Linked DNA regions of Zea mays. The protein of the gene in region 2 binds, or shares a complex with, the protein of the main gene of each other region. Links are inferred from orthologs where the notes say so. Each region holds a gene or a part of one and is shown on either strand. Other genes may lie near its edges.

Evidence for each region.
Region 1: glutamyl-tRNA(Gln) amidotransferase subunit A, chloroplastic/mitochondrial (region 2) and Glutamyl-tRNA(Gln) amidotransferase subunit C, chloroplastic/mitochondrial share a complex: the UniProt entries of both Arabidopsis thaliana proteins name them as parts of the heterotrimeric GatCAB amidotransferase (AdT) complex. The link is inferred for Zea mays from reciprocal best matches to the Arabidopsis thaliana genes AT3G25660 and AT4G32915.

The regions. Positions count from the first base shown.
Region 1 is NC_050100.1:16,521,823-16,526,280, forward strand, and holds the start of Glutamyl-tRNA(Gln) amidotransferase subunit C, chloroplastic/mitochondrial, read right to left. Parts: upstream 2,883-4,458; 5' UTR 2,815-2,882; coding exon 2,605-2,814; intron 2,500-2,604; coding exon 2,459-2,499; intron 1-2,458. UniProt on the Arabidopsis thaliana protein: Allows the formation of correctly charged Gln-tRNA(Gln) through the transamidation of misacylated Glu-tRNA(Gln) in chloroplasts and mitochondria. The reaction takes place in the presence of glutamine and ATP through an activated gamma-phospho-Glu-tRNA(Gln).
Region 2 is NC_050097.1:6,254,906-6,259,333, reverse strand, and holds the start of glutamyl-tRNA(Gln) amidotransferase subunit A, chloroplastic/mitochondrial, read right to left. Parts: upstream 2,822-4,428; 5' UTR 2,764-2,821; coding exon 2,221-2,763; intron 1,918-2,220; coding exon 1,606-1,917; intron 947-1,605; coding exon 767-946; intron 662-766; coding exon 567-661; intron 475-566; coding exon 399-474; intron 1-398. UniProt on the Arabidopsis thaliana protein: Allows the formation of correctly charged Gln-tRNA(Gln) through the transamidation of misacylated Glu-tRNA(Gln) in chloroplasts and mitochondria. The reaction takes place in the presence of glutamine and ATP through an activated gamma-phospho-Glu-tRNA(Gln).

The DNA.
Region 1 (4,458 bases), on a different chromosome or scaffold from region 2:
TACCTTATTGGAAGTCCAGACCCTGCTGCCCTGTGATGTTGCAGCCTTCCCTTGCCGGTATTTAGGTCTTCCTCTTTCCATTCATAAGTTAAACAGACATCATTTTCAGACTTTGGTTGAAAGGGTTGCTGATCGGCTGCCGCATTAGAAGGCGGATCTAATGACCAGATCAGGGAGAAGAACCCTTGTACAACATGTGCTTACAGGCATGTCTATTTATGTGGCAATGGCAGTTGACATCCCCCATTGGGCTTCGGAGACGATTGATAAAATAAGAAAAGGATTTCTCTGGAAGGGTAGAAAGGAAGTTAGAGGGGGGCACTGTTTGGTAGCATGGGGAAAGGTTTGCAGACCCCTTCATCTGGGAGGCCTGGGTATTTCTAGTCTCTAGGAACTCTGCTGGGCGCTCAGAATGAGGTGGTTGTGGCTGCAAAAAACTGAGCCTGGGCGCTCTTGGTTTGGTCTATCTATTCAAATTATGGCCAAGGCCCGGGCTTTCTTTTCCATGGTCCTGATTTTTGAAGTGGGAGACGGTGCAAACACCTTGTTCTGGACTGATAAGTGGCTGCATGGGGAAAGAATCTCTGAGTCGGCCCCTAGGCTTTTTGGCATAATTCCTAACAGTGCGTTTGGATGTTGGAATTTAGACTCGGAATTCAGAATTGGAATTGACAAACCCGAATTCTGGTGTTTGGATGGTCACAGTATTTGGAATTGGAAATCCACCAAATTCCAGCCGGTATTCAACTCTACACACGCCTCCACTCTCCAATTCCGACCCTCCACCCTCTGATTTGCTCGGAATTGAACTGGATTTGGTATTGGATCCGATTTCCAAAGCCAGGCTGATTTGGTATTGGATCCAATTCAATTCCACCATCTCCAATTCCAACATCCAAACGGAGCATAAGAGATTTGCTCAGAAACGAACTGTACAAGAAGCTTTATCCAATGGTCAATGGATTGCTGACATTAGGGGGGGGGGAGGCTCACTGTTGAAGCTTTATCAGGTTATCTTCGTCTCTGGGAGATGCTTTCTGGTTTTGAGTTGCAACCTGACAGGGAGGATAAGCATATTTTCAGCATTGCTTCAGATCGTAGATACTCTGCAGAGTCTGCCTATAAAGGTCTTTTTATGGGATCATGCTATTTCAGGCATTATAAGCGAGTGTGGAAAACATGGGCTCCACCAAAATATCGTTTTTTTCATTTGGCTTGTTACCCAGATCAGATGCTGGACAGCAGATAGACTCGCCAAGAGAGGATTAAATCACCCAAGCAAATGCCCTTTATGTGATCAGGATTCTGAAACTACAAATCATTTGCTTGTCACATGTGTTTTTGCAAGGGTTTTCTGGTATAAGGTGCTGAGAAAGTTTGGTATGTACTCCTTAGCTCCTCCTTTTTGGAATGGTGGGAAAATGCCTCAGAGACACTAAATGGGCTCTGCATGAAAGGTCTCAACTCCCTTATCATCTTGGGAGCTTGGTTGACCTGGCTTCATCGTAATAGGTGTTTTTTTTGACAATGGGTCTCCTAGCCTGCCTTTAATCCTCAAGCAGTTTGAAGATGAGAGGAGTTTGTGGGAGGTTGCTGGTGCCAAGGTATTATCCTCCCTGGCAGCCCCACTTCCTGCTACTTGAGGGAAGGAGGCTTCTTAGTCTTTAGTAGTGTCTGTGTTCCTATGGACCAGTTTATATATGCATGTTTCTGGCCTCAGTAAGGATTCCTTAGTTTACTTTTGTATTTTTGGTCTTCTTTTGACCATGTATCCTCTCTTCTTAATTTATAAAATGGTGCAGTCCTCCTGTGCATTCGAGAGAAAAAACTTAACTGTGGCAGAGCTTGTGACATTTGTGGTGTTCTGCCACAGGAACTAGATGTGGTCCATTAACATGTTCATATTGCATTGTTCACTAGAAAAAATAATGCTGCCATATTCATCTTTTAAAAGCAGCGTCCCATTCATCCTAGAAAGGTGCCTTCATTGGTGCAAGGGTGTTGGCCTTCAACTTTTCATGTGTTTTCTACTCAACATCTTCTACAACAATTGGCAGCTATATTGTTTTCATGGTGAAGTTGTGAGAACGATGTGTATATCTGGATGACTTCAGGGATGAGTCTCCTCTAACTTAAAGTGAGAGGGACTTAAATCGCTGACTTTAGAGGTATCATAGTAAGATATATTGCAATCTGCACAAGGTACTAACATTACTCAGTATCTGAATCATCCAACGCATTTCCAGTCTGAAATTAGCAATGCACTACGGCATGTGTTCATTGGTCCCCCAATCAAAAAAAAAAATACAGACTAAGAAACTATCTAAACCCACGGCAGAGCATTCCTAGTAGAAAGACTACACCGTCTCGCAGAATTTTATGAGCTGCAACAAGCACTACAAACCGCCCCTTCAATCATCCACTCGCGAGAAGAAGAGAACAGGTAGCAGAAACTTACCAATCCACAACCTGACGAATCTTGGGCTCGAAGTCCTCGGCCTGGCGATTGAGCACACAGAGAACACAAGCAAAGCGTCAGCCTCTCATGTGCACAGAGCATCACATGTTTGGCATCAAGAGAAAGAAAGCAGGACGGCGACTGACCTCCTGCGGGGAGAGCGAGATGCGCGCGGCGTTGGCTAAGCGGGTGAGGTCCGGCGGCTCCAGCTCCCCAGCCCCCGCAGCCGCCACGGGCGTTACGTGGCTGGAGGACGAGAGTGGCCGCGGCCAGTGCGTCCTAGCCGACGGCCGCCTCAGCCGCGGGCCCGACGCTAAGCGGAGCCTGGGTATGGCGGACGCAGCGGCGGAGAGCATGGCCGGCCGGCGTCGCTCGCTGGTCGCTGCTGCCTCCGGGTCTGGCTAAGATTGGAATTGGATCGTCGTCACCGATGCGGCCTCATCGGCTCATCCCATCTCATCGTTTCGCGCGGTGCGGCCCGGCCCACTCAAAGCGGCCACTGCCCAGAGCTGAGAACCCCCCCTCGTCGGTTTGGGCCTCTCCGGCACATTGAATTTACCAAAATAGATCACTCTACAATGAATTTGTAAAAATAGGTCAATCGAGTAGATCACTTCGTCAAAATACACATCCGGATGTTTAACTAGTCTGATAAGTGGGCATGTATCCCTGTTGGACCGAAATATCTCTCCCTTTCCTTAGGGTATCTGCACTGGCCTACAGAAATCCTTCCGGTAAACGCGCATACAGGTAACTGGAGCTTAAAAATATGTGCAACGGTTTCCGCTATAGCTCTCTATATCCTTATGCATCCACAATATTGCGTCAGATATAGCGGACACCAATAATTACGATAGAAGTCTTATCCATATCTAGAGATGGCAATGGGTACCCGCGACCTGATACCCGATAGGTATTTACTCCATTAGGGTATATATATAGACTAAATATTATACTCGTGGGTTTATTATTGGGCAAAAATCTCCACCCAATGGGTAAACGAATATTAGAACGTTCCGTCTTCACCCATACCCGTTAACCCGTGGGTATAAATACCCAATATAAACTTAGCCCAAGCATGAACTTGTACTTTAGTCATTCATCTTTTTTACTATTTAACAACCTTTTAGACCATAATGTCATAGAAGACTTAATGACAATTTAATGACCATGTAATGGAACATGTAATGTGCTATGTAGTACTATCCTAGTGTTACTACTTTATCCAATTATCTTTGGTGTGTTGAATGGATGGTTAAATGATGCTAGAAAATTTTGTTATGGTATTTATATGGATATACTTGACATTTGTATAGTATAATATTTTGATAGATGTTTAATTTTTGTGGGTACGGGTGACCCGATGGGTGACCCATACCCACATGGGTATGGGTATGGGGGTAAATTCATACCCACCAGTGTATGTGGGTGACCTAGTGGGGTTATTTTTGTGTCGTGGGTATGGGTATGGGGTAGTAATACCCGGTGGGTATTTACCCATTGCCATCTCTATCCATATCAAAAGTACGTGTTGTGCACAAAAAATATAGAATTTCGATCATAATAAATAGAATATGTAATAATTGATATAGAGGGGATATAGAGAGAGATATGGGCGCAGAAGATTGTAATATATAGTAATGAATTTTGATGGGAAATGTATCTGGTGCAAACCAACTCCTTCGTGCAACCGTGCAAACTTCTAATCTAAACCACATGATGTTGATCCAAGGGACGCAGAGGTGTGGATAATTTTACACTTAATCGTCCGCTGCTAATCACACCTTTTCAAATCCCCCTCCCACTCCTCCGCACGTCCCCTTGGATCAACATCATGTGGTTCAGATTAGAAGTTTGCACGGTTGCACGGAGGGTTGGTTTGCATTTTGATGACTAGACTATAAAGGGTAATATAGAGTAAGGATATGGAGTAATCTGCACTACAGATAGTCTTAGCTGTTAACGGTGCTGCACAAGACGACCACTGGTGGCAGTGGTCT
Region 2 (4,428 bases):
ACCAAGCCTGCCCTTTTAGTGAGAAACTGGATATGTTTTCTAAATTATAAATTTATATTCTTTGCAAATGGAGTGGAGCACTGGAGCATATAATTGTTGTTTTTTCATTGTAATAATAGCCAGGATTTTGTGCATATACAGTATCATAATAAAAATATTAAAAAGCAAAAGAAGTCAGTCAAAATCTATGTACAGCATGACTAATCCCTGAGCTGTGATGACATGGGACACGTGCATAGTTCTACACAATGTGACAGCTCCTAATCAGATTGGTCAATGTGCTAAGCTACATGACTACATCTAACGGGATCATGAATAAATATTGAAAAGACAACTTATGAGTATACTAGTGGAGTATGGACTTATATATGATATATTAGTAACTGAGAATATTGTACCTCATGACCAAAACCATTAGCCCGGGACTCTCCATAAAGCTCATTCAAGTCATCCGCCGAGACCTGTCCTCCATACCTGAAAACAGTACTCCACAGTATAAATCCTATGATACTTTGAATATACAGGGGTAAGGATAAGGATTAGCTACCGCAAGAATGCAAGATCACCTGATACCATCATAGCGTGATAGATTAGAAGAAGCTTCAGATGAGGCTAGTATGTAATATGCTGGTAAGCCAAGAGAAAATGAAGGCAGTGAAACCTGAAATACAATAGAAGACAAAAGTTCAGTTAAAATTTCTTTCATGAATCCCGTTAAAAGGACGTGTTTTTTAATATATATTTAGGATAGTGGAAAGTAACAAGCCTCTTCCACCACAGATCCCAACTGCTCCAGGTGTGAAGCAGCACCCTTGATTGATGATACGACTCCACTGGCAACACCTTCTCCAAGAGTTTCTTGTATAATCCCAATTCTCACACCATTTAATGGTTTCGATTCTAGTAAATCTAGGGAGACCAACTCCGATGCGTACTCTGGAACAACCTGGAAAGGTGACAGAAGAGATCAAGTAGCAATGAACCAAACATCAATGTTATGCCTTCCTGTATGCTCAAATCACTAATGGATCATGATCCAGTTGCAGAGTAGAATAGAAGGACAAAAACAAGTTAAGGGTTGTTAACAAACATACAGGACAGCTGCATAGTTTTAATGATATAAATGTATTAAATCAACGCTATATATAAGAATGGGAGTATGGGGCAGACTAGTATAATCCTCCTGACATCTGTTCTTAGTCATTTGTGAATGTTATGCTGTGATTTGTTTTCCAACCATAAGAAGACAACCCATGTGCTGCCTTTATTACTGATAAAAAAAATAGATAGAATAAAGTGCAAAAGTCATCCCAATCAAACCATATTAATACAATTACTAACAACCAAATCAAAACATGGCACGATCACATGGAAATGAAATCTGATGTCCAAGCGTACAACTAACCTGTGAAGCCCAACAAAACAAATAATACATGTGAGGTCATAGACATGTTTGCCAACAATAGAAATAAACATGTGGTTCAACTTGCAACTGTACCAGATAATGTTATAACCCAACCAGATAATAAACATATTACTGATTGAAATGGGAAACATCATACAAATGTACTTTTAAGGCTAAGCCTCTAGCCTCTGTTTCTTTACCTGTGAACTGCTGGTTGCGTCCATCTTGTCATGGCCAGCAACAACAGATAAGATGGTTGCAGTGTCAAAAACCGACGAACCAAAGCATCCCACAACATCCAGCGATGAAGCGTAGGCCATGAGACCAAAACGAGAAACCCGGCCATAAGTTGGCTTCAATCCCACTACACCGCAAAACGACGCTGGTTGTCTCACACTTCCACCTGTGTCACTACCTAGTGACACTACGCATTGCCTAGCAGATACTGCAGCAGCAGAACCACCAGAGGATCCCCCAGGCACACGTGAATCATCCCACGGGTTCGTTGTCACCTGCATATCACCAAACAATATGTGTCATAATCACACATCACCATGTGTCTACATTTTTAGCAGCGCAGTTCATCTCCGAGGGAAGTCCCCACATTTCAACATCAATACTGACATGCAACTAGCCGCCTATATTAAGATGGTACTCATTAACGATTCTGGAACTGTCCCTGGTCTGATCATGATCAGAGTCTTATCGGGCTAACATTAACGTCATATTTCAACATGAGTCAACACAATCGGCAACGCTCAAACTTCAGCAAACTCTGTTTAAACGACATGAGGATCTGGTTCTGGTCCGCCAACCTGAAACGCGGAGCCCTCGGTGGTGCTCCCCATTCCGAATTCGTCGAGGTTCGTCTTCCCCAACACAATAGCGCCGGCCTCCCGCAGCCGCCGCACGGCAGTGGCGTCGTACGCCGGCCGGTACCCGTCCAGTATCCGCGACCCGCCCGTGGAGGGCATGTTGGCTGTGCAAAGATTGTCCTTCACTCCCACCAGCACTCCAGCGAGCGGACCCACCGCATCCTTCTCCCCGGAGGCAATCCTCCGGTCGAGTTCCTCCGCCTCCCGCTCGGCGGCGGCGTCCGCGACGTGGATGAAGCTGCGCAAGGTCGGCTCGGTACGGCGGAGGCGGGAGAGGTACTCGGAGGTGATGTCCGCCGCGGTCCTCTCGCCTGAGAGGAGCGACTCGCGGATGGAGAGGATGGAGGATGTGGCGGGGCCCGGGGCCAAGGTTGTGGCGGGAGCGGATTGGACGGAAGAGGCGGCGGTGAACCGGCGGCGAGCTGGAGTGGGTAGGCGGCGGTGGGAGATGAGTAGGCGGTGGGCCTGTAGAGGCGGCGGCATGGCGGCGGCCGGCGGGAGGTTCTCCTGCCGTCGCCGGTGTGCGCGGGTTTTGGCCTTTTGGGGATGGCTGATGAGGAGTGGCCGAGTGGGAAGGGGAAGGTGAGGATTTGGGAGGATTGGGGTGGGAGAGTAAGAGACAGGTGGATTGGAGACACGTGGAACTAAAAATGCTGGGACGTCGTTGGATCATACCAGGAGTCTCGATCTACTGAATTGTTTGTAGACGTCTTTTTTTTTTTGGAAAGATCGACTCGAATCGTCTGGTCGTGACAAGGGCCCTGTTTGGGACAGCTGCTGCTTGTTGAAAAAGCAGCTTATCTGATAAGCTGGTAAAAAGCAGCTTCTGCTTGTTGGCTGCTTTTAGTTCATTTTGAGAAGCAGCTGAACTGATAAGCTGCTGCAGAAGCTGCCTGTTTGGCAGGACTTCAGCTTAAATTTGTGAAGAAGCTGAAAATAAGCTGTGCCAAACAGGGCCAAGGTCTGTATTCCACTGTATGTCTGTATGTAAGCAAAGTATACTCTGTTCCGTCCTTAACTCCTTATTGATGCTACTCTACATCTGAACTTAAAAAAATATTCTAGTCAACTCAGTAAGATTATTTTCTCTATATATATTTTTTTGCAACTACATTAGGCTTACTCCAACGGAGCAGCTATCCAGGCAGGCAAAGGTAAAATGACTGGCCGCTGAGCATTGTAGCTCAAAATTGAGCCTTCCAACAGAACAGCTATACACGCCAGCCAAAATACCAGGAGGAGAGAGAAAACGGCATTCTGCCTGCTCTTCGAGCGCCAGGCATTCTCTTCCCCTGTCTCTGACAAGTTGTCCCCTCAATCATTTGCCTTACTTCATTCTTTCTTTTTTCCTCTGCTGTTGGATGCACGTCGCGGATAGCTGGGCAGGCATTCGGGAGGGGCCAGCCAAAGAGCAAAATAGCTGCCAGATTTGGCTGGCACCTGTTGGAGTGAGTCTTACTCTATAAGTTTCCTCTGTATGGTGTTTGTTTGGTGAATAATCTAGTCTATCATCTTTTTATTACTCATTTTTTTGTTTGGTTGTAGAATAGAATGAGTTGATTTATCAACACCTCGTTCCTCATATTTAGTTAACATGCAGAATAGAGTCATCCCACCAAATTTGAGAATTCGAGAACATCGATTATACCGTCGAATTTGCTAGGGATTTGGTTTGCATGTACATGAATGTGTTGAATTCATTTCGGATTTGTCACCTAGGGTTCGCAGTGTAGTACTAGTGTTATTTGCAAGGCATAAATTCTTAGAGTATTCATCGATCTAGGGTCTTTCATTATTTCAAGTATTACCCTACGTTTCTACATCCGTATAGTTGGTATACTTTACACCTTGCAAACCCAAATAGGCCGACACAATTGCAACACCATTGTCCTTGAATCGGTTTAGGTCCCCTAAACCGAAGAAGAGATCTATGTGCTAGTACAATGTTGTTTGCCCCCAGTTCTTGCTTTACTATAACATTTGGTTCAGTTAGGAGAGAATTCCTTTCATTAAACTAACAAGAAACTTTATTTATGTAGTTATAAGTCTTAAGTTAATTAGTACACGTGGACTCCTATTCAATGAGGTTCTACCTCCTTTTCTTTCTCTTTTAGTTGGATGTTTCATTGTTATACTTATGATTCTCAT